Linked DNA regions of Diceros bicornis minor. The protein of the gene in region 4 purifies or fractionates together with the protein of the main gene of each other region. This does not show direct contact. Links are inferred from orthologs where the notes say so. Each region holds a gene or a part of one and is shown on either strand. Other genes may lie near its edges. The genes, in order: CTNNB1, CUL4A, HDAC1 and SOX2.

Region 1 (7,326 bases), on a different chromosome or scaffold from region 4:
GTTTGCGTGCCTATAGCCTGGTGCAAGCTAAAACAAAAAACCGGTGATACCACATCTACAGATCTCAATGGATTCAAAAACAATATGAAAATTTTTAGCTGACAAGAACATGTCTGCTGCCTGCAGTCCCTGCAATAGCTCACCATGTTGCCTACTAACCAAAAGATCAAAAATTATCGATTTCATGGCGCTGCGTGCTCTGGAAAGAAAAGCTACTTTAAAATTTGCATTGTTTAAGAAATGAGTTAAAAGAAAAGAATCATTTTTTTTCTGAACACTTTGGGATGTGAAAATGGCTTGTTTTAATCTTACCCATGATTTACTATAATTCTATTATTTTTAGCAGCTGGAGTCCAGAAATGATTTTTTTCGATGAATTTAGGATTTTGCCGCAGTATACATCTGCAGTCCCAGAATCCTCCGGTAAGTTAATCCTTCTTGCGTTGGGAAACGCCTTTAACCTTCTTGTGAATGAAGTATCTGCAACCATTTTGAAATTTTTAATAGAGAGGTGTTTGTGCATGTGTGTGTATGTACGTTGGGGGGTATGTCTCCAAAGCATGATTTCTTAGCAATGCAGCGGTAATTGTCTTAGTTCTTAGAAACATATACCTTTGTGTTCTATGAATATCATGGATGATGTCTCCATTGCTTCTCCTTCACACTATCTATGGTAGCCATTAAAATGTACTTTCTTAGTATGGCAATGACTGCTGTGTCAAACCAATGAAGGCCTGGAGAACACATAACTCCAAGTATGAAGAGTGTTGCTGGCATAACCACAGCGGCCATGAACAAAACTATCACTGCTGCTGCCACTGCCACCACCATGGCCATCGCCTCCCACCACCTTCACTGCCCCTCCCTCACTCTGCAGTGCACACTAGATGCAAGCTTTCCACGGTGCCTCTCTGCCGAATTTGCCCAGTGGGTTCCTAGATTACTTCTGTGTGCAAGAATAGCCAACCATGTAGTCTGACAAGAGGTATTTACAACTACTTAGCCTGTTCAGCTGGAAACAAATCAAAAGATAACACTGAACCCTGAGATGATGTATTGCAAATCAAAAGTCCCAATCCATAAATAACCCACTTGATATGCTGCTAAATGAAAAGCTGATCCTGATTATTGTCCAGTGTTTTCAGGTTGTCAAAAAGAAATATTTTTAATAGGCCTTCTTAGAGAGTTGGGATCTATTGTTTATAAATGCATGGAATATTATTTAGTCTTACCTTTCTGCTGGGAGAGGATTCTTCCCAAGGAGATTCAGATACTGAGTCCAGAGGAGACCACACCCTCATCTCACTGTTTTCTACTGTTTCTGTTTACGTTCGAGTAGGGTTGATTAACAATTACAATTATACATTAATTTAAGGGACCTAATCAAAAGGAGCCAGTCTTCCATTTCCCTCTCTCTAAAGGAGCTCATTGTCTTAGTGCTCAATAAATGTTTAATTAATGGATTTGATAAAGTTAACTATCCAAAAAGTGAACGGACCTTCTTTACAGTACTGGCTTGATTAATGTTTCTGTAGGAAGTGCAATAACAATCCGGGCATTTATTTCTTTGCCTAGAGGTGATTTAAAAGCATGTGTTTTTGTGAAGGACGCTTTACGTTCAGGTTCCATGTAGCCCCTGCTTGATATGACAATGGTCTGCTATCATGACAAGCAATACCTCCTCCGCTAACCCAGCTGGAGACACTTTGGTTTCTAGGAACACAGCTTGAAATTTAGAACCATTTGTCTTTTGCAGTTTCACAAAGTGGATTAATTTAGGTCACACCCAAGTGGCTGACTCTAGAAGGAAAAGGTGTAAAAAGATAACCCAGTGTTTTTTATGAAATGTATTGCCCAAGGTCAATTTTTTAAAATCATTTCTACAAAATCACTTATTTCACCCACTCATCAGGTATTTTGATGCTTATATTTCTCCTTGGTTTAATGACAATATCTGTCTTCACTTCACACAAGTTATTCATCTCATATTTTTGATGAGACAATTGGAACAATTTCTGTTTTTTGAGAAGCAAATAAAAATTCTGAGCAATTTGTTAAATTCAACTAATTTGTTTTAATGTCACCCAGTAATTCTTCAGTACACTTAAATTTGACAGGAAAAACAGCTTGCTGCGTTGTTGCAAATTTTACATTTCCTTTAATAACATGTGTTTGCTTAAAGTATTATTATAGATTTAAAAATCTTAATTCTAAATTTAGATTAAGATATCTAAATTACAGAAAAACGTTTCAATTATTTTGGCATCTGAATAGAGAAATACAAATATAGAAGAGTTTTTTTATCTTTTAGAGGTTCTAATGGTGCAAATATTTCTTAACTTGATTTAAGTGTGCCTTATTTAGCAAAAAAAAAAAAAAAACCAAACATAGAAAAAGGAAATATCCATACAAAAAGAACCTCTAACATTAATTAATCTGATTTTACATTATGACTTAAATCTACTGTATATTCTTTAACTCTGCATATGAGTTTTAAAATTGGGGATCAGTACCTGGAAATGCCATTTTATACTTTTGAGTTTATATTAGAAACAGTGCTTTGATGAAATACCTTTTTCTGTCAATCTGTTTGAATTATGTCCAGCCAAGTTAACCACAACCGTTGGCCACACTTACTTCTACAGAATTACTAGCAAAAATAAAAATGAGAAAGTCATCTTAGACAATGGATTTCACTGAACATCATCGTGTGTGCACTTTTTCCACTGCAGGGGCCCACATGTGCAATAGTGACAGATAGCAGTTGACATTATCACTGTATATAGTAAAATATCTTTCAGGCAGGAAAAAAAATAGAATTATTTAAAGAACAAGTTGGCCCTTAAGTATTAACTATACCGAAAACTACATATCCTACCGCATGAGTAAAGGAGTAAGTAGGTTTCCTGCTTGTATCTATGTATAAAGACCTATTGTTTGCATGCATTAATTAGAGGGATAAAAGCCTCAAGATAACTTTCACTGTTGCTTTTTGTACTCTATTGTTTTGGAGGGAAAATAAGCATAAAACAATAGGCTAGAGAAAGTGAATCGATCATAATTGTTTCAGCTTTGACAAATGCCAATCTTGCTGGATTACAATGGAGACATTTCCAAGGGAAATGAAGACTCAACTTTAGCCTATTAAAAAGAATTAGAAAATGTTTTTGAAAAACAGAAAATAAGTTTTAAAAAAATTAGAAGCTGCCTAATCGATAGTTCCTTCCATAAACAACATACTTGGATTTCTCAAATAAGTAATACCGTAGAAATGCACCTTCTCCAAAGAAAAATCCCCACAAAAAGAAAAAACAAACCTATTGATATTTAGTAATACAGTGGAACCAAACACAAATGGACTCTATAAGAATTAACCTAACGGACAGGGCTCTAGAGCTAATCCATTTCCATCAGTCATTTGTTCACAGTAGGTACTCATAGGACTTGTTGAATTGCGGGCTAGGCGCCCACTCCAACGCGAGTTCACAGCCTTCGGGAGTGCGGACAGCAGGCGGCTCGGCCCGGTAGTTCACCCAGGTTCAGGCTGAGCAGCCGGTTAGGATGCGGGATGCACGATCCGGACAGTGGGGGGCTTTAGGGTGGTGAGCGGCTGGGCTGCGAGCCACGTCCTGCAGGGAGTGTGTGGCCAGACCGCAGCGCTGGCAGAAGCCCTAACCCGCCCGAGTCCCCCGACCGACAGCGGGGCAGCGGCGGCGGCGCCCAGCAGCGCCTGGAGCGGGGCAGGCCCCGACCTCAGCGCCCGCGCCGCCGCCGCCTCGGCCCCGAACTTCTGCCCTCTCAGGGCCTGTGCCGACCGCCCGCGCGGCCCCCGAAGGCCGAGGCCGAGATGCAGCCTCCCGCGGGCGGCGGGAAGCGCGTGGCAAGCCCCGCGTCGGCTCTCACGGTTCGGGGCACACGCGGGGCGGGAGCGTCGGGCTCCGGACAGTGGAGGATCCTGGTGCCGCCCTCCCCCCACGCCACTCCGGCCCGCGGGGGCCGCGGCCCGCCCGCCTCGGACTACGGTGCCCTCCCAGGCCGCCCTCCAGTCCCGACCGGTGGGAGAGCCGCGGGGCTCTACCTAGGAGAGCGTCCGGGCAGCGCGCGGGCGCCCCGCCCCGCCCCGGGGCGTTCGGACGGCGGCAGCCGGCTCGGCGGCGCGGGGACTACTTTCCCCCGTCCACCCGCGCCCCGCCCCTTGTCCTCGCGCGGCGGAACGCTCCGCGCTGCGCCGGTGGCGGCAGGATACAGCGGCTCCTGCGCGACTTATAAGAGCTCCTTGTGCGGCGCCATTTTAAGCCTCTCGGTCTGTGGCAGCCGCGTTAGCCGGTTCCCGAGAGCGGAGAGCGAGGGGAGGCGGAGACGGAGGAAGGTCCGAGGAGCAGCTCCGGTCCCCGCCGAGCCGCCACTGCAGGCCGAGGACGGTCGGACTCCCGCGGCGGGAGGAGCCTGTTCCCCTGAGGTGCTTGGGCGCTCCTTTCCTTACCCTTCCGGGGCTGCTCCCGCTCTCTCTTCGGAGCTAAACTTCGTCGCGGGCGCGCGGTCCCGGCGGCAGCTGGAGCCCGGCTCGGCGCAGCCGTGGGGCCCGGGTTGGGAAGCAGGGGTTGCTGGCTGGGGGCGCCAGGGAGGCGGCGGGGGCGGGCCGCGCCCGGGGGGCGGAGGGCGGCGGCAGGGCCCGGGTTCCGGTAGCGCTGCGCCTCGGGGGCCCCGGGGGCGCCGCTTGCGGGGAAGGGGCGCCGCGAGGGCGCGTCCAGGAGCTCGGATGGCCGGTGCGGGGGGCCTGTGGTTTTCGTCCGGGGCTCCGGTCGCGGCCGAGTTTGGGGGAGGGACCCTGCGCCTCGGGATGCGCCGGGGCCGAGGTGGGGGGCGGGGTGGGGACGGGGGGCTCCGCCTTTCCAGCCTCAGCGGGGAGTTGGGGTCCGGTCGCTGGGCCTGGGACGCACCCTGGGTCCCATCTGCCTTGCGGATAGGGCCAGTGGACTTTCTCTCCAGATTCCCTCTTTCGTTCTTAAGGACGAATTAAGGGAATTCTTAAGAGAATTGTGTTTTTTTTTTTAACGCCCTGCCTATGTGAGTTTGGCACTGGCGCTTGTTTAAATGGAAGCAACTTTAAACCTTCAAACTATTAGTGCAGACAGTGCGATGCGTCAGTAGGGTTTGCACACAGAAAAATCCCTGTCTTGCACCTATTTTTTCTTGTACCGTGCAGTTGAGGGACAGCGGCGATGTGCAGTGTACTGGAGTCTTCTGGATTTACCGCGATGGGTGTGAGACCCTACTAAAAATAAGGGTTGGGGGGCCAGGCCAACTTGCTTGTTTCTTATCGAGCGAACCTCGGGAATTCAGCCTCTGACTGCTTTGCGAATTTTGTTCGTAGAAATTACTTATTCAGATAGTTTTTATGGCAGCTAAACTTGGTTATCCGAGCACGTTTTCTTTTCAGCGGAGTGAATTTTTCCCTCGCCACGAAATTGGTGAAATGAAATTCAAGCATTGCAGCTTCCTCCAGTGTTTTGTCTGGGGAGACGACTTTGAACAGAGACTTTCGAAGTTCTCACAGGCCGCTTTTGAATCCGCTAAACTTGAAAGCTTTGGCAGTTGGGTGTAGTTGTTTCCTTCGTTTTCTCTTCCCTTTTGGAGGGAGCATTGTTTTATACTTTGTATCTTCCAGACATCTGTGGTCTCCCCTCCCCCGGAGCTTGTGAGTGGTGAATGAAGAGAGACCGGCCTGCTGGTATGCAGAGGTCGGCAAAAGGAAATCGAGGAGTGGTTTTAGTGAAATGAGAGCTTTGTGTCATGAATAGCGGTGGCTTAGACTAGACATCAACTTGAAGAGACGGCTGTCCTTTGATAAGTCTAGGCTAATGTTTTTCGGATCGCTAAGTTATAAAATATTTTGGCATTTAGGAAGCCGTTTCATTATTGTCACTTGGTGAACATTCACTACCTTCAGATATCTTTGTGTTAACTTGTTTTCGTCCTAAGAAATATTAGACATAGCTTGAAATGTTACTTACATAATGCCGTTGTTTAGTATCTGCTTAAATTAGTGACAAACTTCTACTTTGGAGGCTTTTTTTTTTTGATCTGAACTAAGGCTTCTGCTCCATTCATTTTACTTTTTTTAAACTCAAAGTCTCTGGACTAAAAATACCATTAAGGTTTATTTGAGAGTATCGTTATACAAAATTTGATTAATTTGCACCCAATATTCATTACTTTGACCTAGTCTTTGTTCTGAAGGCCATGTACAAGGACGAGGCCCTAAAGTGATTGCAACAGTAACTTGAAAAACTTGCAGAAGACCATTCTATAGGATTAAAGGAATGCTGAGACTATTCAAGTCTGAAGTCCTTGAGGGGGGAATAAAAACCGGCACCGGAAAGTTTAGTATAGCACAAAACTTAGAGTCCTTGTGGAGTCCTAGGCCTGAGATTTTCCTGGAGGCCAGAGCAGTCATTTTAAATAGCTTTCAGGAAAAACCAAGTTTTTAAAAATAAGGTGGTTAATAAAAAAGTGAAGCATTTAACAGTGTTCAAATGTCAAGAAGCATTCGAGAGTTTTGTTGCTTATGAACTAATTGCTGACTACTTCCTTTACCAAGATTATGTAGAAAAATGTGTATTCCAGTATTAAAACTTATCAAACCATGAATTGAGCTTTCTACTGTGATGACTGAAATAAAACTTGTCCATATAAATAAAGTTCTGTATGCTTGTTTTCATAGACAGTTCCCTTTGCCCCCTCCCCAAATAGGAAGGAAAACATGAAGTAGGCAGATTTGTCTAAGGGTATTGAGATGTGATGCTTAGGAAAACTATCTGCAGATATCCTTTTTTATTGTTGGGAGGGGTGAGAAGAGGAGCATAAGTATTGTTGAAACTAGGGATGTGGAGAATTCAAGTTTGAATATCACTCTTTTATAGTTATTATAAGTTAGCAGTGAAATAAAACCCCAGAAATGGTCTACATAAGTATAGTTAGCCAAATGAAACTTTTATGTTATTGAAATGAAACAATTCATCTGTCCAGTTATAACATGATTTTGTTTCTCTTTCGTGGTTTACTAGTTGCTGATAATCCATAATTGTAGATGAGTAGGTGGTAAATTTTAAGTTTGTACTTTGAGCTTGGTTGGAAGCACGCTTGATTGCTAACCCAGGGCAGCAAGTTTGAATGCTTTTAGAGCAGGACAAACTTCTAATAAAAACTATCAGCAACTCTTTTGTAGTGCTACATGTTGACTTGTGACATTGTTTTTGAAAACATTACTGTATTCACCTAGTTGTTTTCTTGTAGCCCTCTTTTTATTGGGAATACAATATCTTT
Region 2 (7,474 bases), on a different chromosome or scaffold from region 4:
GGATAAAGTTGGAGGGCCAACACTCCCTGATTTCGAGACTTACTACACCCACCCCCATACGGACCATGATTTTTGACAAAAGAGCAAATGTAATTCGGTGGGAAAGGGTCGTCTCTTCAACCAACGGCAACAACTGGGGCAACGGGACGTCTACAGGGAAAGACAGAACCTGGGTTTCACCTCACAACATATACAGAAGTTCACTCCAGACAGATTACAGACCTCAGTGTAAAACCTAAAACCCTAAAATGTCTCTAAGGAAATACAAGGGAAAACCTTTACCACCTGGATTAGGCAAAGATTTCTCAAATAGACACTAAAAGCAGAATCCATAAAAGACCAAACTGATACACAGACTTCATCAGAATTTAAAACTTCTGCTCTCTGAAAGACAGAGTTAAGAGAATCAAAAGATAAGCTGTGGACTGGGAGAAAAATGCAAGACCAATATCTGGTATAGGACTTGTACCCAGAACACATAATAAACTCAAACACTCCTTAATAAGAAACTAACCCCATAAAGTGTGTGCGCTCCACTGCTGGCGGCCCGGGGTTCGCAGGTTCAGAGCTCGGGTGCGCACTGATGCACCACCTGTCAGGCCATGCTGTGGCAGTGTCCCACATAAAGTGGAGGACTATGGGCACGGATGTTAGCCCAGGGCCAGTCTTCCTCAGGAAAAAGAGGAGGATTGGCAGATGTTAGCTCAGGGCTGATCTTTCTCGCGGGAAAAAAAAAAAAAAAAAACTAACCCCATAAAAAAATGAGCAAAACATTTGAACACACACTTCATTAAAGAAGGTATATAGAATGGCAATGGGCACATGAAAAGATGCTGAATATTATTAGAGAAATGCAAATTAAAACCACAACAGAATTCCACTAGACACCTACTAGAACAGCTAAAATTAAAAAGACTGACAATAGCAAACGTTGGCAAGGACGTGGAACAACTAGAACTCTCATACACTGCTGGTAGAGATGCAAAATGGTGTAGCCATTTGAAAAACAGTTAGGAAACATCTTATGAAGTTAAATATACACTTTCCTTGTGACTCTGAAAACCCACTTCTAGATATTTATCCATGAGGAATGAGAATATATGTCCACACAAAAACTTACTTGTTAATGTTCACAGCAGCTTCATCCATAATAACCTCAAACCGGAAACCCAAATGCACATTAACTGGTAAAAAGATAACCAATTTGGTGACCCATACTGCCCACACCAGCAACAAAGAACAAATTACTGTCACACGGCGCATGAATCTCACAAGCACTATCTTAAGTGAAAGAAGCCAGATACAAAAGATTGCAAAGTGTACTGTTCCACTCAGATGAGATTCTAGAAATGGTGAAATATACTGACAGAAAGCAAATCAGGGACTGCCAAGGATTGGGAGTCAGGGCAGAAGAGTGAATTCCAAGAGGCCTCGGGGAACTTTTTGGGGCGATGAAAATATTCTCTACCTTGATTATGGTGGTAGTTATACAATTGTATACATTTGTTAAAACTTATTGAAGTATATGTTATATGTAAGTTATACCTTAATAAAGTTGATCAAAAAACATAATAAACTCACATAAATTTAAAACAAAGAAGGGAGGTATATCCATTAAACTGTCAATAGAAGTCTTCTTTGGGTAGTGGGAGTATAGGTGATTTTAATTTTCTTCTTTGTACTTGTTTGTAGTTTCCATAATTTTTAAAATGTAATCACTTATGTAAATAGAAAAAAAAATTTAAGCTCAAGTCTCAATTTGTGATATTACATTATTACCTAAAATACAGATAATATTAGCAAACGTTATTCTTTAAAAATAAAATATGAGAAACACCAGACTGCTGGTAAATGTAATATCCAAATAGTAAAATATACTTTTGAGCATTTTTTTCTCATGTTAGAAATGGAACTTCATTACTTTAGGTTAAATGTAACAAAGTCTGTATGTTTTAATTGCAACAATTAATCACAAAACACAACGAAGAGGGGGGAAAAATCTACATTAACAAGTGAAACCGTAACAAGTTTCATATATAACATAATGGAATTATAATAATAATTTGCTGCATACTTGGAAAATGTTAAGAGTCATGTAGCCCGAAAATAAAATAGAAATCCCACAACCCCCACAAAACGAAAACACTGGCTGACTCTGGGGACCTGCTGTCACAGGCCCTCCTGTCCTGCTGGAGGCACATGCTTGGATTTCCATTGGTTCCTTCGCTACTGACGCTGAAACAATCCCGAGAACCAGAGCCGGGGTGTGTATCACACCTCCCTGCAGCTAGATAACCGTGTTACTCAGCCAGCCACAAAACCACCCGGTACGGGAGAGAAAGGACGCCGGCTCCTCCGTCCTGAGGTCCTCCTCGCCAGGACAACCCCGCACTGACAGGTCAGCGGGTTGCGAGCGGCCGGCCCCGCCGCTGCGGGCTCACCTGATAGAGCTCCTCCAGGTTGTACCTGATAGACGTGCTACTCTGGATGGCCTTCACCGCCTCGTGCAGCTTCTGCCAGGTGTCCTGAGTGTAGTTGTCCGGCAACTTCGGTCTGTCTGTAAACGCAGAGAGATCAGCGGGGTCGGGTCCGCGCCAGCAGCCAGCATCTTCCAGACACTCCGCAGAAAAGCCCTCACGGGACACCAGGGCCGGGAGCAGAATCGGGCTTCCCAACACAAGGCACCGCGTTTACACAGTTCCCGGGTGCAGACCAGGCGCCCGCACGCCGCTCCACGCGCCCGGCCACGCACGACCCCGGGTCCCGGGTCACCGCCGTCCCGCCGCAGGGCCGACGCCCCGGGAGGGGACAGCAGGGAGGGGGGATCACCGGAGAGGCCCGCGGGGAGGGCACCGCGGGAGGGGACTGCGAGGAGGGGACCGCGGGAGGGCACCACGGGAGGGGACGCCCCCGCCCGCCCCGCCCCGCACCCACCTCGGAAGTTCTTGATGACCAGCTTCCTGGAGCCGCCGCCGGGCTTGGCGGAGACGGCGGCCGCGGCCAGCGACGCGGGCTTGGTGAGGCCGTTGGTGTGGCCGACCAGCGCCGAGAAGCTGCCCTTCCGCGGGGGCTCGTCCGCCATGGCCGCCGCGCTCCCTCGGCCGCCGGCGCCAACCGCCGCCCCGGCCCGGCCCGAGGAGGCCCGAGGCCCGCGAGCGCGGCCCGTCCGCGTCGGCCACGGGCAGCGCGGAACCCGCACAGTCGAGGGGCGCGGGGCAAGCCCTGTCAGCTCCGGGGGCCCGGGCGCCCAGGGGCGCGGACGAGGCGTCCTCGCTGAGGGGAGGCGCGGAGTCGCGGCCGGACGCCGGCCTGCCTCAACCCGGGCGCGCCGCCATGCCGGCCCGGCGCTCGCGCTCCCGCGGACGCTCTCCCTCCGGAACCGACGTGCGCGGAAGGCGGGGCTGGCGGGGCCGGCGGCGCGGGGCCCGGGACGGACCGCCGGCCGGAAGTGACGCATGGCCGGGCGCGCAGGCGCCGTCTGGGTCGGGCGGCGGGCGCTGCCATGGCGCACATCACCATCAACCAGTACCTGCAGCAGGTAATGCTCGCCCGGCAGGTCGCGCGGGGCGACTCTTCCTCCCCTTGGCCTGCGGGGCCCCGGGCCGGGGTGGGCACTGCGGGCCTGGGCAGCCTGTTCCGCGCCTGCCCTGGCCGCCGGACGGGAGGCCGGGACGACGAAGCGGCAAGCTCACTGGGTGTCCTGGGGCCCCCGGGTACACCCACGGTCGCGGCCCTCAGCCTGGGGACGTGGAGAGGGGTCCGAGCGGATCCCCAAGGGCCTGTTGGTCACGCTCAGGAGCAGGGGCGCGGCCGTTGCGTGGCCGTTGAAGGCCTGACCCAAGGGCCGGACTTCGAGTTTTGTTTCGGATGAACGCTGGTGGACATAGGAGATGGAGATGGCAGGTGGTCCCGCCGCGAGCCGCTGGCCACAGCTGCCGTTTAGTACACCCGCTGTGTTAGCACCTGGTATACTATGGTATCCTGGGGAAATGTCTCTCGCAGGGGTTTTGTCCATGCAGCCTGTAAACGGCAGAAGCATAGTTCAAACATAGGTATTTATGGATTCAAAGCTTGCATTCTTCCCGCTAGACTATGGTAATTCGCAGAACTAGGACCGTGGTCATAAGGATAAAGGAGTGGATTTTAAAAATATCTGAAGGAAACATTACCAGGACTTGGTGATTAAGAACTTGTGGTTGAGGGACCTCGGGAGGAGTGAAGAATGATTTCCAGGTGTCTAGCTTGGACGACAGGTGAGCAGAACAGATTCGGAGGGAAAAGTCAGTTTACTTTTGGACATGTGGAGTTGGAGGTGTCTATTGACAACCAGGTAAAGATATCTAGTTGGCAGGTGAATGTTAGTCTAACATGATTGAGACCATTAGTTGCTAGTTAATTGAGAAAGTTGTTTAAAACGGGAATCATGAAAAAAAACAGATACATGCTTTTATTTTAATTTAAAACATACAGATATACATTCACTTGCCAGTCTTTTGATTGAAGCCTTGTCTTTAAGGATAGGTCTACCTTGGCCTTATCTTTGCAGAGTTAACATTTCCCATATCAGTTTAAAGTTGAACAAGAACATAGACATCTGAAAACCAATTTGAATATAGAATCTCTCTAGAATTTTGTTTTCTCTTAATCGTTTACAATTTTCTTGCCCACACCTAATTCCTTTTTTTTTTTTGGACATTCTGTGTGCCTTGAATGGTGTCTGACCCATGTGGATGCTCAATACAATTTGTTGACTGGATAAATGGAGGCAGATAGGAGGCGTTGAGGCTCGCTTATAGGGCTGGATGGTAAAGTGGAGTGATTCGCCTGTTCTCAGACCTCCTCCCTCAGTCTAGTGAGTAGTAAGGTTCAGACCCAGGCTGGTCTGTCTGACTCTAGGTTTCATATTCTTCTGTTTCACCAAACTGCGTCTTGGTCCTATTCCCTGCATTCCCAGAGGAGCACTCAGAGAATCTCCTTTCTTGTCTGTCTTATGTGGTGAAGCAGTTGGGGTATGATGAGAAGCACAGTAATGATTAGCGCATGTTGAACGCTTAATAAGGACCAGGCGCTGTTGTACGTAGTCATCATCGCTGTTTTTCTCGGAGGTGGGTCCATTGCAAGCCCCATTTTGCATAGGAAAGCAGTGGCTTTCCAAAGTCATTGGCAAGTGTGTTGCACATTGAGACCGGGAGTTCCGGCCTCAGAGTCCATGCCCTTAACACAAAGCTCACTGCCTCTCTTAGCCTAAGTTTTGGCCAACATTTCCTGTCCTAGCTAGAACCTGCCTATTTCTGTTTCCGAATTAAATATTTTTTTGAATCTCATTGACCTTGTCAGCTTTGATACATCTCCATTCCTTATTTCACAGCTTCACCATGCCCACAGCCAGCAGCTGCCTGAAATGCTGTGTCTTTCATTCCCCATGTGCTCTGTGATAACATCCTATTATCTGTTGGGTCTGGAGTTTCATTCTACTCTCCTCATAGCTTAGGAGTTCTCCTGGTAGGTTCTTGGGTACTGGCAGAACGCACGCGATTCCTGGGTCAGAGACCAAGGACTTTAGTACTCAGCATAGCAGGCAGCACGGCAGCAGCATGATGGTATTGCGATGGCCCAGAAGGGCCCCTACACGTGCATCTGAGAGAGAAACATGGAACTTGGGGAACCCACCCATTCTATAGCAGGCTGAAAGCAAGTCTGCTTTCTGTCCAGGGTTGGGGATGGGGGGAGACATTACTTCATTTCTCAAGGTGACCAGCTGCATAAACAGCCCTGAGTAACGGCTCAAGTGAAAGAGCCAGCGGTCAATCCTTGGCAGGGGCAGAGGCCGGAGGAGGCCCTGTTGTCTCTCCCAACACCCAGCTGTAGCTAGCATGTCCCCTCATCTATTTAGTGCTCACAGTGTCAGCAGGCATTCAATTTAGTTTCTGTTTGGAAGGGACAGGTTGAATTCATTTACCTTATATTTTCCCCAGAGGTGGCTCTCTTCATCATTTCTAGTATCTTTTTTTTAGTGTCCTTTATTTCATTCTTTTGTCCATTCCACACACTCTTATTTTACATGGAAAATTACTTTTGTGTGTGTGTGTGTGTGAGGAAGATCAACCCTGAGCTAACATCCATGCTAATCCTCCTCTTTTTGCTGAGAAAGACCGGCTCTGAGCTGACGTCTATTGCCAATCCTCCTTTTTTTTTCTTCCCCCAAAGCCCCAGTAGATAGTTGTATGTCATGGTTGCACATCCTTCTGGTTGCTGTATGTGGGACACGGCCTCAGCATGGCCGGAGAAGCGGTGCGTCGGTGCCCGCCCGGGATCTGAACCTGGGCTGCCAGCAGCGGAGCGCGTGCACTTAACCGCTAAGCCACGGGGCCGGCCCCATTATTATTCTTTTTGAAGCTCAAATTGTCCCAGATTTGGCCACTGGGAGCCCCTTCAAACTGGTTTCTGTGGCTTTTTGACCTGTCTCCATCCTTTGGTCTCTGCCTTGCTTTCTGGTGCAATAATATATTCATTCCAGGCTCACTTAGTTCTTTCCCTGTCCCAGCACTAGATCAGACTTTTCCCCAAGAAGCTCTGGTCCCTTTTAGTGGAGGGTGAATTTAGAAAACAGATATGAGTGCTGGGTGTGCTTATTGCTATCAAGGTATCATTACTTCTAGGCCTTTTCAGTGGACGGAGCTAGTAAATGTATTTTTAAGGAATTAGGAGTTCTAAGAGCAGATGATTCCCCAGTGGATCAGCTTGGAGCCTGGAGGACAGGAGTTGACCAGCAGCAGCCAAGAAAGAGAACTTCCTGAGAGTACCCAGAGCCAGAGAGTTTCACCTGATGACCTCTGCAGTCCCGAGGCCAGGCCCACAGGGGTGCTGTGGACAGTCTCGCCTGGAGTGCGGCCGCATGGTCCAGTGCAAGGTGCTTAAATTAAAACACCAGGGCCAGCCCAGTGGCGTAGTGGTTAAGTTCACATGCTCCGCATTGGCAGCCCTTGGTTCGCCGGTTTGGATCCCTGGCGTGGACCTACACACTGCTTATCAAGCCACGCTGTGGTGGTGTCCCACATACAAAATAGAGGAAGATTGGCATAGGTGTTAGCTCAGAGACAATCTTCCTCACCAAAAAATAAAAAAAATAATAAAAGACCAGAAGTTCTGGGGTGTGACGTATCAACAGTGACTAAAGCCGTGACTGGGTTGCCCATGATGCTAGTGTCCACTGAGGTGCACATCCGTCTTGGAGATTTGATGCGAGTGTGTCACCATCCCTCTGTTTTCCCTCACACCCCGTGACGAGAACTTTGCAGGTTTTCTTAGCTTCCTTGAGGCAGGGGCACCAATGGGACCAATATTTTGTGATTACTCGTAATACATGAAATGACCTTTTGTTTCTTGTAAGGTAGATCCCTAGGAGTGGGATTGCTGGCTCAGAACTTAAGTGCATGTGCAGTTTTGTTGAATAGTCAAGTGGCAAATTCTTTAT
Region 3 (8,030 bases), on a different chromosome or scaffold from region 4:
GAGGATTAGCATGGATGTTAGCTCAGGGCTGATCTTCCTCACAAAAAAAAAAAAAAAAAAAGAGTGGATCCAGCCAAGGCTTAGACTTGGGGAACTAAGATACCTTATCTAAAAGGCTAAGGGAGTACCTGAGGGTAGGGACCAGAGACACCATCATTTTCTTAAGAGTTTTTAACCAGGTTGCTGAAAGACTTAAAAGAAATAATCCTTTTTACTTAGATACTACTTTTAAACTTTTAAAGAGCTTTTCCCCATTTTCATAATTTTTCAGTTTTATAGGAGAGTGAGCTGAGGCCTGGAAGGGTAAAGTGACTTGCCCAATACTGCAAAGCTTCTGAGTGGCAGAGCCAAATCTGAGTCCCAAGCTAGTGACCGCACTGCAAAACTCACAAGAAGTTTCTCAAAAAGAAGTCTCCTTCTCTAAAGACCAGGATCTTTCCACTTTTCCTCTTTTTAAACTGAGTGTGTGGAGATCACAACTGTGCAAACTAATATGGCTACAAAGTCATAGGCTCCAGCCTCAAATGGGCCCTCACCACCGCCCAGCACTCCTTCCAAATTTCTTTTCCTAGCTCCCTCTTTCACAACAGCTATTGAACAGCTCTCTCTCTTCAAGATTCCTACTCTACCAACTGCCCTCCCCGACTTGCAAGAAAAAGACTATTCTCTTACTTCATCTTGAAAACTCCCTCAACTTCCTCCCCACCTTCTCCCCCTCAAACCTACCTACACTTGAACTCTTCCTTGCCACTTACCCTCTTGTCACGAAGGAACTTCCTCTTGAAGGCTGGTGTCCCTAACTGTGCTCTGGTTTCCATCTCACCTGGTCTCAGAAAACTCCATCATTACTAGCCCCTCTCTTATATCTTCAACCTCTCCTTCTCTCTGGCTATTTTCCATAAGAATTTGGAAATTCAACTCTCAGCCACTATACCTCCCCTTTATCAACAACCCTCTCTCTCTGCCCTGGAGAAGCTTCCTTCAAAAAGGGTTCAACCTGATGTCTCCTCTTCCCCCATCCATTTGTTCCTCAGTCTACTGCAATCTAGCTTCAGTTCCAAACCCTGCACAGGAAACAGTGCTTGCCAACACTAGGCCACTCCCTCCCTGTTTTGGCTACTGTAACCCAACACTTTCGGATTCACTTACATCTCTGGCCATTCCCTCTGTATCTTTGTTCATTTAATCAACAAGTATTTATTGAGAGCCTACTATGAGATAGGCACTGTTCTGGGGGCTGAGCATACAAAGGTAGAGAAGACATAGTCCCTTTCCCTAAGGAGTTTACTGTCTGTAAGAAGTATGAAGAAGTAAATGGGCAATTCCAATACACAGTGACAAGCGCTATGACAGAGCATGAAGGGCACTAGACTTTTCCTCAGTCCACTTCCTTAGGATTCCACGCTGGATCCTCTTCCCTTTGCACCCCATACAACTTCTTGGGTGACCACATCCTCTTCTGTAACTAAAATTACCATCTGTATGCTGACGACTACCAAAAATTGCTCTCTTCTAAACTGCAGACCTGAATGGCCAACTGCCTACTGGACACCCAAAAACTCGGATAGCCCCCAGACATATCAACGAATTTTTCTTAAAAAAAAAAAACAGTTATCAACTGACATGGCCTTCAAACACTCTGTATCAAACTGTCCAAACCAGAAACTTGGGATTCTCACCTTCTTCCCTACCCCTGCGTTCATGAATTTAATTTCTGTCCTAAGGTATAAATCTGATTATGTCACTAACCTGCATAAAACTTCAATGATTCATAAGCACCCTCAGAATAAAGTCCAACTTCCTTAGGGCAGTATGCCCAGCCCTTCAGGATCCAGTCCCCATTTACTTCTCCAGCCTCATCACTGGCAACCTTTCCCTGGCCCCTGCTCCCTACCCTCTGCGCTCTGCCCTCAGATCTAGGCCTCAGCCATACTCTACACACAACTGCTGTTTTCCAAAGGTGCTGTCCTCTCTTACCCCTAAACTTGCTGTTATCTTGGACTTCCCTGTGCCAGGCTAACAACTCCTGTTTTTCAGGTCCTAAGAGATGGCACCTCCTTCCCTGACTCCTCATGCCGGGCCGAGCGCCTCCCCTCTGTGCTTTCCTTGATCCCGCCATGATAGTGGAGAGCAGCTCTCCGTCATTGTCTGTCTTCCCCTCCCGACTGAGACGAAGATGGGAAGTGACCTGATCCTCCCATGGCCCCAGCACCTCAACACTCCCTACAACAGAGCAAGTTGGTCGACAGATTTCTGTTACATGAAAAAGTCTGTTTTAATAGGTTGCATCCTTCTCCCTCCAACCCCAGGGGCCCCATTTCCCAGCAGCAACTGCAGGCCCTGCTCGCAGGCGGGGGGAGGGGAAGCCGGTGACCACGAGTTGGTGATTCCCGCAGGACTCTCACCAAAACAGAGGAGGCAGGGAAGGCGCGGGGGAGACCTTTGTCTTCTCAGCAGGAAACATACACCCTTGCAACCTTCTCCATCAGATTCTGCCTCCTCCCTCAGACCCAGCCTCCCCTCCAGGAGTCCCCCTCAGTCTCCACATCAGCCTTCTTCAGGATTCCCCCCCGCCAAGATGACCTCAGGCTTCCCTGGATGACCCCCTCTCTGCCTCAGCCTCTTCCCTCAGTCTCGGCCTCCTTCCTCTCAGCCTCCTCCCTCAGCCCCGGCCTCCTTCCTCTCAGCCTCCTCTTTAAGCCTCTATCTCCTCTCCTCAGCCTCCTCCCTCAGTCCCAACCTCCTTCCTCTCAGCCTCCTTTCAGCCCCGACCTCCTTCCAATCAGCCTCCTCCCTCAGTCTCGATCTCCTTTCCTCTCAGCCTCCTCCCTCAGCCTCGATCTCCTTCCAATCAGCCTCGTCGCTCAGCCCCGACCTCCTTCCAATCAGCCTCGTCCCGCAGCCTCGATCTCCTTTCCCCTCTGCCTCCTCTCTCAGCCTTCCCTCAACGCCCCTGCCTCGCCCAGCCTCCCCCCTCAGATCGCCTCAGCCTCCCTCTCCGGGATCCGGCCGGGCCAGGCCCCGCCCCCGCCGCGAGGCCGGGGCTCACCGTCGTAGTAGTAACAGACTTTCCTCCTGGTGCCCTGAGTCTGCGCCATCTTGCTCGCCTCCCGTCCCTCCCGTCGGTCGGTCCGTCCGTCCTCCCGCCCGCGGCTCCGCAGCGTCCGACCCAGGGGGGGAGGGGGCGGGCCTCCAGCGCGCTCCGCCCATCCCCTCCCGGGATCACCTATAGCCGCGCAGCCCGGGCACCGCTCCAGCCAATCAGCTCGCGCAGGGACGGCCCGGAACTCGGCAGGGGGCAAGGGCAGCCCTGAGAGGCCGCCTAGGGCCCCCTGGGCCTGTACCAAGGTCGACGACAGGGGGGTGGGGGAAGCTGCCCGGGGACCGTACCATTAGTCCCGGGGGAGGAAAGCGGTCTGTAAAGTTCGCAGTCCCTCTTTGGGGTTGGTGATCAGAGGTCAATTTTGTAATTTTACAAAGAATCACCTGAGGCCTATGGGGGAAAAGTGACTTGCACAAGGTCACTTAACTCACAAAAGGGCTGAACCTGGATTAGAACCTGAGTTTGGAGGAGGGAGGGGTAATCTGACAAACGAAAGAAAACTGCTGGAGGCCAAGTACTGTACAATAGTTTTACCAGCGTTATTTCGGTTATCTCAGGCCTCACAACAGCTTTGGAGTAGGGCTTTTTATCCCCATTTTACAGATAAGCATAATGAAGTTCAGGCCTTTGTGACTTGCTCAGAATTGCACAATTAGTAATTAAATTCAGTTTTCAACTGTACAGACTTTTTGAAGGCCTACTATGCACCAGAGGCTGTAACAAAGTAGCAGAACCCAGACTTTCTTACTCCAAAGCCTACCTTCCTGATGCAGTCACCCAGAAGGAGTGCCTTTAAAAAGGAGGAAATTGATTGTCCTCTTCTGGAGCAGGGTTTCTCAACCTTGAAGCTACTGACATTTTGGGCTGGATAGTTCTTTATCGGAGGGGGCTATCCTGTGCACTGTAGGAAGCTTAGCAGCATCCTCGGCCTCTACTCGTTAGATGCCAGTAGCACATCCCCCAAGTTGTGACAACCAAAATTGTCTCCAGACATTGCAAAACTGTCTCCGGGGCAAGGGGGGAGGGGATTGGAGGCAGTGTAGAATTGCACCCCCACCCCCACTCTCCCCTTGAGAACCACTGCACTGATGATCAGTCATCAACTGGTCATTATTGAAAGCTGAAAGACTGAAAAGCACCATGATGGGCTATTAAAATAACAATTACAACAATATTAATATTTAGTGAGTGCTTACTATATGCCAAATAAGTTACTCACTCATGGTCCTATAGTCAATAAGATACATTTTTATTCCTCTTTACAGTTTAAAGAGTGCTTGGACACTTGTGTTCCTCGCTTGGGAACTGCATTGGGGTCATTAATGATAAAGGTAACAGAAGATCTAAGACCGGTCAGTTCTACTATAGAAACAGCAAAGGGCCAGGGCCAGGGAACACACCCTATTCCCAGTTCTGTGTTGCTGCTTCTGTGTTGCTAGGAACCTTTCTGGACCTCCATTTCCCTCTTTGTAAAATGGAGAATGAGAATAAAAAGTTCACAGACTCTATGGCTACACTGTCCAAATGAGGAGGAGAGTGGGGATCAGTTGAAGTCATGGGTGTGGCAGCATTTTATAAAATGTAGAACAGGAATCTCAAACTCAGATGCCTAAGGAGATCAAGCAGGTGATGTAAATGAGTGGATTCATACTATATTATTTATATTAGTTTGATTCTGTCACTTTGCATATTTTCAAAATTGGATTCTTTTTCGCTTTCATAAATAAATATGCATTTCCCCCACCTTTCTTCAAACACACTGCCATCTTCAGGTATCTTTAATTTTCTCTTTTTAATGGAAATGTGGGTGCAAAAAATCATTTCATTTTCCTCTTTATTGTAAGAAAAACAGCACGAGCGTGATAATAAATAGCTACTAACACTTAGTTTAATTGTCTGGGAGCAATAGGGAGTGGAGGAGACTTTGGCAAAGAGAGAGCTCATGCCCCACCTGAAGAGTGTGGCCACTACTCAGCTCCATGAGGACAGGTAAGCCTGACGGAGCCAAATCCTCCTGTTTTTTTCAAGAGAAGGCAGAAATCTGGAGTTTTATGCAAAATCTCACCAGTAGTATAAATTGACTGCTAACTCAGTCTATTTTCAAGACGGCAGTAAGAACCATCCTTTTAAAATATAAGTCAGATCATGTCAGGCTCTGCATAAAGCCCTGCAAAGGCTCCTCAAAATGGCTCCTGCAAAGGCCACAAGGCCCCAGGCCCCATAGGATCTATACCCCTCCCTCAGGCTGTCGTTACCTCTCTGCGGTTGCCAGGCAAGCTTCTGCTTCATGCTGTTCCCTCTGCCTGACAGACCCTCCCCCATACCACATGGCTCAATCCCTCACTCCCTCACCTCCTTCAAATCTTTGCTCGAAAATCACCTTCTCAATGAGATCTTCCCAGACCACCCTCTTTAAAATTGCAAACCTCCCCTAAACATGACAGTCCTAATTCCCCTTACCCTGCTGTTTTCCCTTGAGCACTCATCACCTATAGCATACATATCCTTTACTTCTCTGTGATGTTTACTGTCTGTCTTCCATTACTAGAATGTAAGCCCCAAAGGGGCAGGGATTTTGTTTATTTTATCTACTATATATCCTATGAACCCAGAACCATGCCTGGCACACAGTAGATGCTCAATAAATATTTGTTAAATGAGTGAATTAACTCAATGTTTAAAAACATCTTGAAAGTGAATCAAAACATATCTGAGGCCAAATATAGCCCTTGAGTCCGTAGCTGTAAAAAATGCTAGTGCCCTTATATAATGGGAGGGGGGAGAGTCCTGGGACACACCCACTCCCTAGGAGGTTCTGGGTAATGGTCACCCTTAATCCTTTGGGGTAGTGGTTTGAAGTCCATACAGCAAAGTGTAGTAGCAAGTGACCTCCTCTTGGCCCCCAACATCAGCAGGGCTGGAAAAAGTTTACACATCCCTTATTCTATCTCTCACCCCAATTCAGGGTGACTCAGTTTCCATCTTCTGAATGCTCCTCCCCCCTCCCAAGGAAGAGGAGATGGGAGTGGGGAGCAGAGAGATGTACAATCTTCATCAACAAACAGACATTTATTGAGCTCCTGATGTGTGCCAGGCACCAAGGAGGAGCACATAGAGGTATTAGATAAAGTCCTGGCCCTCAAGGAGCTTCTTGATGACCAGGGGAAAGGAAAAGGGGGCGAGCAGAAGCTGGTGTCAATCACAGGCCTCGCTCCTCTCTCTGGTGGTCTCCGGAAGTGGGAGGGTCCAGAAAGGGACAAGTGTCCAAGACATATATGCACAGGCCACACATGTACAAGACACATGTGCAGAGCCCACACAACTACAGAACCCGTGTATAAGACACGAGAAGTGTGTGTGTCATGCATGGGCGGGATTCACGTGGTGCAGAGTCCGTACGTTCATAGGCCACATGGGTATGACACAAGAACCGTTATCTCCCAGAGCTGGGTTGGCTAGATGGGGGAGGGCTCCAGGCCCCAGCCAGCTAGGCCTCTCAGGGCTGGGGCTGGTACTGGCCCTCTGTGGCTGTGAAGAAGTCCTCCAGCACGCTGCGCAGGTAGTCAAAGGTGGGCCGGTCCTCTGGGCGCTCCTTCCAGCACAGCATCATGAGTTGGTACAGCTCATCTGGACAGTTGTCAGGTCGCACCATGCGGTAACCTCGCTCCAGGTTCTGAATCACCTCAGGATTGGTCATCCCTAGAGGTTAATGGGAGAAACAACATCAAGGCTCCAGACTTTATAATTTTTTTTCCCCCCAAAGCCCCAGTAGACAGTTGCATGTCATAGTTGCACAGCCTTCTAGTTGCTGTATGTGGGACGCGGCCTCAGCATGGCCGGAGAAGCGGTGTGTCGGTGCGCACCTGGGATCCGAACCCGGGTCGTCAGCAGCGTAGCGCACGCACTTAACTGCTAAGCCATGGAGCCAGCCCAAGGCTCCAGACTTTGGAAGCCCACAGACAGGGAAGATGTTCAGAATATTTAACAACTGCATGGTGTGAGCACCAATCCAAAAGGATCTTGGTCTTCGTCAATGGTAAGGCCATACCAGCAGTCCCTGCTAAATGTCAGCAGTTCCACTTGGAGTGTCTGCTATGGCTTGAACACTCAACGACACACATATGTTGGCTGTGAAATCTTGGGTGAGCCACCTTACCTCTTTGAGCCTCAGTTTCCTCATCTGGAAAATGGAATCAATAGTAGCTCCTACCTCATAGAGTTGTTATGAGGATTGAATGAGAGAGTGTGTATAAAACACCGAGTATACTGCCTGGAGAAGAGATGCTACATAAAGAGTATCTGTGATTATTATTATTTGGTGGGGAAAGATGGGGTGGTCAGGGCCCAGGGCAGGATGGAAGCTCACAGCCAGGACAATGGTGAGGCTTCTCCAGCTTTGGGAAGAACCATATGAGATGCTACATCAGGAAGCCAGATGGACCCTGGGCCCCAGCAAAGAACACCCGACATGGGGCAGAGAAGGTTCACCAGGCCCCTCCACAACCCAGAGGAAATAATCTTTGGGCCAGTTCCCACCTTTTGTGATGGGTCCCCTGGGAGGCTCCTAGCACGTGGACCCCAAGAGGAGCTGCTCTGGAGAACTGCGTGGTCATGGCAGAAACATCACTTCCTGTTTCTAAATGACCCATGTGGCCTCTGGTTTCTCCTTCGGTCTCCTGAGAAGAGACTGTGGCAGGCAGTCTCCAAAGACTAAACTCTTATAGGGTCCTAACAAAATGGAAGTTTTGCTTCTACAAAGCTTTGGACCTGACCCTGGTCCATAGAGACCCCACTTCCCCAGGCCGCCCCCAGGAGGTTTCTAGCTATGGGCCCCTCACATTTCAAAATCAGGACACTGGAGGACACAGGCTGGGGAACTAAACACCTGTGGTTAGAGTCCACGGTGCAAACCCATAGGCTACACCCA
Region 4 (6,134 bases):
TTCAAACACAGTAATTTCATGTTGTTTTTTTATCTGAACAAAATGGAAAGTTGGGAAACAAAAGCTATTATAAATTACCAATTGTGTCAACCTGCAGGCCATTTTTGCTTTTAACAGTAAGTTAAAAAAAATTTAGTACAATCTAAAACTTTTGCCCCTTTAAAGAAGACCACGGAGATGGTTTTGCCAGTGCTTATTCTAATTTTTTCCTTTTGTACAATTTTTAATCAATTAAAATGTCCAAATCTGAATAATTTTCTTCTTTCCACGTTTGCAACTGTCCTAAATTTCAGCTGCAGAATCAAAATTCAGCAAGAAGCCTCTCCTTGAAAAATATTGGCAAATTCTCAGCTTATAAACAATGGACATTTTGATTGCCATGTTTATCTCGATAAATACTGTACAAAAGTTGCTTGCAAATATTAAAACATTTTTTTCGTCGCTTGGAGACTAGCTCTAAATATTATTGGTAAAGACTTTTGCAAACTTTCTGCAAAGCTCCTACCGTATCACTAGAACTTTTAAAAAGTTTTGCGTAGCTTTCTTTCCTCCAGATCTATACAAGGTCCATTCCCTCGCCCTCCCCACCCCACCCCCCCGGTTTTCTCTGTACAAAAATAGTCCCCCAAAAAGAAGTCCAGGATCTCTCATAAAAGTTTTCTTGTCGGCATCGCGGTTTTTGCGTGAGCGTGGATGGGATTGGTGTTCTCTGTTGCAGCTGTCATTTGCTGTGGGTGATGACTTTTTTTTTTTTTTTTTTTAGCGTACCGGGTTTTTCTCCATGCTGTTTCTTACTCTCCTCCTATTTCCCTCGTTTTTCTTTGAAAATTTCTCCCCCACCTCCAGTTCACTGTCCGGCCCTCACATGTGCGAGAGGGGCAGTGTGCCGTTAATGGCCGTGCCGGGCACCGGGCCGCTCTGGTAGTGCTGGGACATGTGAAGTCTGCTGGGGGCGGCGGGCTCCGGCACCTCGGCGCCGGGGAGGTACATGCTGATCATGTCCCGGAGGTCCCCGGCCTGGCAGGGCGCCCTGGAGTGGGAGGAAGAGGTAACCACGGGGGGGCTGGAGCTGGCCTCGGACTTGACCACCGAGCCCATGGAGCCGAGCGCCATGCCCGGGGTGCCCTGCTGCGAGTAGGACATGCTGTAAGTGGGCGAGCCGTTCATGTAGGTCTGCGAGCTGGTCATGGAGTTGTACTGCAGGGCGCTCACGTCGTAGCGGTGCATGGGCTGCATCTGCGCGGCGCCGTGCGCGTTGAGGCCCGGGTGCTGCGGGTAGCCCAGCTGGTCCTGCATCATGCTGTAGCTGCCGTTGCTCCAGCCGTTCATGTGCGCGTAGCTGTCCATGCGCTGGTTCACGCCCGCGCCGAGGCCGGCGCCCACCCCGACCCCGCTCGCCATGCTGTTGCCGCCGGGGGCCAGCAGCCCGCCAGGCAGCGTGTACTTATCCTTCTTCATGAGCGTCTTGGTTTTCCGCCGGGGCCGGTATTTATAATCCGGGTGCTCCTTCATGTGCAGCGCTCGCAGCCGCTTGGCCTCGTCGATGAACGGCCGCTTCTCCGTCTCCGACAAAAGTTTCCACTCGGCGCCCAGGCGCTTGCTGATCTCCGAGTTGTGCATCTTGGGGTTCTCTTGGGCCATCTTGCGCCGCTGCCCGCGGGACCACACCATGAAGGCGTTCATGGGCCGCTTGACGCGGTCCGGGCTGTTCTTCTGGTTGCCGCCCGCCGCCGCCGCGGTGGAGTTGCCGCCGCCGCCGCCGCCGCCCCCCGAAGTTTGCTGCGGGCCCGGCGGCTTGAGCTCCGTCTCCATCATGTTGTACATGCGGGCGCTGTGCGCGGCCCGGCCCGCCGGCGGCCGCCGACCCTCGGCCCGGCCGGGACTTTGGGGGGCCCGCGGGCGGGGGGAGCGGAGGAGGGGAGGCGGGCGGGGGTGTCGGGAGCGCAGGGCTCCGCGAGGAAAATCAGACGAAGAATAGTTTGGGGGAAGAAAAGAGAGAGAGAGGCAAACTGGAATCAGGATCAAAAAAAGCGCTTCCTCCTCTTCTGGCCGATCCCGCCGCCGCCGATGATTGTTATTATTATTTTTTGGAAAGGCTTAAGCCTGGGGCTCAAACTTCTCTCCCTTTCTTTCTCTCTCCTCTTCTTTCTCTCAGTCCTAGTCTTAAAGAGGCAGCAAACTACTTTCCCCCTTTTGCAAACACTCTCTTCTCTGCCTTGACAACTCCTGATACTTTTTTGAACAAGTTAATAGACAACCATCCATGTGACGGGGGCTGTCAGGGAATAAATGGGTTTCCGGCGACCAATCAGCGCGCGGCGGCTCCTCCACTCGAGCCCGGCCTCGCCGCCGGGTTTTGCATGAAAGGGGGCGGGGCCTGCCGCGCCGCCGGGCGCGCGGGGGAGGCGGGGGACGCGGGGAGGGGGAGGCGGGGAGGAGGGGAGGGGAGGGGAGGGGGAGGCGGCTCCCACAGCCAGCCTGCCAGCCACTGAGAAACCTTTGTATCCCCTCTCGCAGCAACAGGTCACACCACACGCCTTTTCGAAGGAAGTGGGTAAACAGCACTAAGACTACGATTTTTTTCTTCCTTAAACTTAATGTGGATTTACTTTCTGGTGCGGGCTGCTGAAATGAGGAAGGGGCGCGAGAAGCAGCTACGGGGTGGGGGCAGGGCAGGGCCGAGTGGGTGGTTCTGGGCGACTGTCCTACTAGTATTTCAGGAAACGGGCCGCGCTGGAGTTGGTGTGTCATTGTTCTCCCGCTCCTCCGCACGCTGCCCCCACGCCGGCCCTCGGCTGCTTCTCCCTCACCCCGCTCTGGCCCTCGCCCCTCTTCCTCCGCGGGGCCCGGCCCTCGCTCGGCCCCTTCTCACTCTGCCCCGACGAGAAGTTAGGACACGGAAAGCTCTGTCCTCAGAACGCTCCCTGCTTCCACGTAGTTTGCTCTGCTGTTAAAATAAATCCTGCTCGGCCTCTGCGGCCGACTCGAGAGCCGAGGCCAGGCCGGGCCTGGGTGAGCTGCCGCCCGGCCCGGCTCTCTGGCGCGGGGACCCGCAGCCTGTCCCCTTACCCCCAGCCACATCGCCCACCAGTCTTTCTCCATTCAGTCGGTGCAAAGGGGATGCTCGTGTTCTCGTCCTCTCCCCATTCTCCTCCTGAGCCTCCCTCAAGGAGGGATTTCACTTGTGCGGGTTGCAAAAGGGGGCTGGGCGAAGAAAGATCCACAGAAGGGCGCTCAGAAGTGCGGGCTATGGGGGAGGGGAATCTCAACTTCCTGGCATCCCACCGCACTGTGTGGAGGTGGCTTGGGCCGCACTCACAAACTCCCTCCCACGCAGAGTTCCCAGGACTCCAGCAGAACCAGCCCTGGCATTTCCTCCAGTGACTTCTCCCGTGGTGGCCGCCTGGCCGGGGCCGCTCGGGTTGGGGCTGCGCTCCGAGGGGGCCCTAGGCCTTGGGGGCAGGGGTGGTGCTCGCCAGGCACAGGTGCAGGCAGTGCAGGCAAGAGGAGGGCGGCCGGGACTGGGGACGGGGGAGCCCAGCAAGGCTAGGGCTGGAGGAGGATGGGATGGGGGCGGGGGTAAGGGCTCAGGAATCCTGCCCGCCCAGGACCCAAGAGGGTAATTTTAGCCGCTCTCCCATTGTCCCAACGTAAAGATTTCAATAGGTAGGCGCTCAATGCGGAGAGCAATGGCAGCACGTCCGTTACAAATAGGTAGTTTTGTTTCTCTTGTTGTCGCTACACGGAGTCAAACAAAGACCCGTCTAAGTTTCCTTCCACTCTCTTGTTGGGATCTTTGTGGCTAAAATGCACTTGACTACAAAGGGGAGGGGGGGGGTTGTGGAGAAAAAACCCTTGATGCCATTTCTTTTTTATAAAGGGCTTAAACCATCAGGGTTACTTATTTTCTTTCTTCTGTAACACTCTCTCCGCCCCCTCCTCCCCTGATCTACCCTTACTCACCCTAAGAAAATGTACTGAATAGTATCTGTCGGCCACGTTCCATTTATTATCTTTACAAAACTGTGCATTGTTTTGTTCCTTACTAACCTTCTTCCCATAACTGCCCTCTCCCCTACCCCGGCCCCCAGTCCAACTTCTCCAATCCCTGCCCTCTCAGGCTTTTCTGTTCTTGTCCAACTCAAGATAACTGTGCTCCCTGGAAACCCAGAAAAGTTGTAAAAGGAATTCTACAGACTTGTCGTAATAAATTATTACCAATCAACCTTCCCTCCCCCTGCAGGTTCTCTTTTTTCTATTAAGTTATGGTTTGTTTTAGTTCTTAGGAACGCGGGAAGTATGAGACTGGCTTTCTCGAAAAGCATCAATATATGGCACTCTTCAAAAGAAAGCAATGTCTTCTGTTTATGCGAGGTGTAATATTAAGCTAAACACGGACCTGGAGATTAGGAAAGAGAAAAGGTTGAGAGGATCTGGAGAAGAGAAGGCGGCCACCGGCTTTTCAGCGCGTATGGTTTCAGAGATGTGGCTGGTGCGCCCCCTACTGGTGGATTCGCTTTTCCAAGACTATTGCTTTTACCTTTAAAAGAAGGTGTTTGGAAATAATTACAGAAAAAAAAATGAGGGGGATGGGAGGAAGATCAAACTAATTACACGTAATCTAAACAAAAGAAAAGTTAACATATCATATAAGCTATGGAATCAATCGTAAGAATTAGATTTAATTTGCTTAACTTAGAAATGTACATATAACCTCTAGATAAGTGGGAGGTTAAACCATGGGAAAAAAATAGGCACAAATTATGAGATTCAACATATGAATGAATTATGATTGTCCAGACGCCACGAAGGGCAGACCAAGCATTCACTTTATGATTGCGTATACATTGGTCTGCGCCTAACTGCATTATTCTGAAAACTAAAAAAAAAGCTTATGGATAATTAAGTTTGAAGAAAAAAATCAGGGAGTTGGTGTGGATAATGGTGGTGTATATGAATTGAAATAAGTATTAATAACGGATGGTTATAGAAGCAAATATTTTTAATCTCTCTGTCTCTCAAGGGGTAGTAAGTAGTAAGAGGCACAAATTTTTCCTTGGGATGATGTATAAAAGCTTTTATACATTCTCAGATGCATGTGTTTGTGCCTGAACTCTATAATAATGCATTTAAGAGGTTAAAGGGGCTGGCTAGGTCTTTTTGTTAATTGCTTTTATCATATAAATAAGCTATGGAAATACATTGCAATTGTGTTATCATTGGTTGCATTTATTTACAGCTTTATTTTAATTAAGCCTGCTGTACTTATCAAGGCAATAAACTAACTGTGGCTGGCGTTTATGCATAATAATGTGCTATGAAAATAAGATTAAAGAAGATGGTGATAGCAGAAACAATTTTCTCATTAGACTTTTTAGAACATATGCATTAAAAAAATCAGATCACCGGCCACTCTATTTCAATCCAGCACCATCACTGGCCCCTAAATATAATAATAACTACAACAATCATAATAGATGACAGAAGCAGCACTGTTTTAGGTTTATAACAGACGGCTACAGGACTAATAACAATATGCCATTGACTCCCAGGGAATCAAAATAAGACTCGGAAGAGGGTGCTTCATCCTCTGAGAATTTAAAATGTTGCCATTGGCACCATTTATGAAAATTGAAAGTGCTTAATCTAAAGAGAGGGTAACATTTCCCTTCCATACACAGCAAAAAGCTGCACACTTTTAGAGCAAGATTAGAAATTATGAACAAAAATGCATAACCCCTGGGATATTCTGATTTGATTTTGTTCTACTATAGGCCCCAGCCCCAAATCCTTAACTGATTAAGTGGAACTCAATTTTATTTACAAATCTCTTGCATTGATATTTCTCTCCTCAACTCCCCTCATCCCTCCTCAAGTACTATATCTGAAGCCAACTAACAATTTTGTGGAGATAGGGGACTGTAGACTTATTTTTTCTTCTTAGTGGCAAATAGAGGTTTAACTTGCAGTAATTAGGTGAGAACTAGCCAAGCATCTTACTATTATGATGCTTGTTAAAAAACGCTTCTTTTCTGCATCTGCATTTGAGTGTGTTCCCCTCCTCTCTTAATCTTCTTATGGAAATGAAGGCAAACGGCAGGGAACCTGCAGAGTCTTGGAGAATGTCCTTGTTA

Evidence for each region.
Region 1: the proteins of SOX2 (region 4) and CTNNB1 purify together in Homo sapiens (affinity purification with mass spectrometry; 3 studies listed by BioGRID and IntAct, with this or other methods). This does not show direct contact. The link is inferred for Diceros bicornis minor from reciprocal best matches to the Homo sapiens genes SOX2 and CTNNB1.
Region 2: the proteins of SOX2 (region 4) and CUL4A purify together in Homo sapiens (affinity purification with western blotting; 3 studies listed by BioGRID, with this or other methods). This does not show direct contact. The link is inferred for Diceros bicornis minor from reciprocal best matches to the Homo sapiens genes SOX2 and CUL4A.
Region 3: the proteins of SOX2 (region 4) and HDAC1 purify together in Homo sapiens (affinity purification with mass spectrometry, with the first as the bait; 3 studies listed by BioGRID). This does not show direct contact. The link is inferred for Diceros bicornis minor from reciprocal best matches to the Homo sapiens genes SOX2 and HDAC1.

What each region holds. Positions count from the first base shown.
Region 1 is NC_080741.1:43,546,308-43,553,633, forward strand, and holds the start of CTNNB1 (catenin beta-1), read left to right. Parts: upstream 1-4,294; 5' UTR 4,295-4,459; intron 4,460-7,326. UniProt on the Homo sapiens protein: Key downstream component of the canonical Wnt signaling pathway.
Region 2 is NC_080748.1:86,945,140-86,952,613, reverse strand, and holds the start of CUL4A (cullin-4A), read right to left. Parts: upstream 3,309-7,474; 5' UTR 3,083-3,308; coding exon 2,935-3,082; intron 2,558-2,934; coding exon 2,442-2,557; intron 1-2,441. Other genes in the region: PCID2 (PCI domain-containing protein 2), read left to right, coding at 3,503-3,538. UniProt on the Homo sapiens protein: Core component of multiple cullin-RING-based E3 ubiquitin-protein ligase complexes which mediate the ubiquitination of target proteins. As a scaffold protein may contribute to catalysis through positioning of the substrate and the ubiquitin-conjugating enzyme.
Region 3 is NC_080752.1:47,050,643-47,058,672, reverse strand, and holds the start of HDAC1 (histone deacetylase 1), read right to left. Parts: upstream 3,156-8,030; 5' UTR 3,099-3,155; coding exon 3,050-3,098; intron 1-3,049. Other genes in the region: tyrosine-protein kinase Lck, read right to left, coding at 6,600-6,802. UniProt on the Homo sapiens protein: Histone deacetylase that catalyzes the deacetylation of lysine residues on the N-terminal part of the core histones (H2A, H2B, H3 and H4).
Region 4 is NC_080754.1:41,644,327-41,650,460, forward strand, and holds SOX2 (transcription factor SOX-2), read right to left. Parts: upstream 2,096-6,134; 5' UTR 1,825-2,095; coding exon 862-1,824; 3' UTR 596-861; downstream 1-595. UniProt on the Homo sapiens protein: Transcription factor that forms a trimeric complex with OCT4 on DNA and controls the expression of a number of genes involved in embryonic development such as YES1, FGF4, UTF1 and ZFP206. Binds to the proximal enhancer region of NANOG.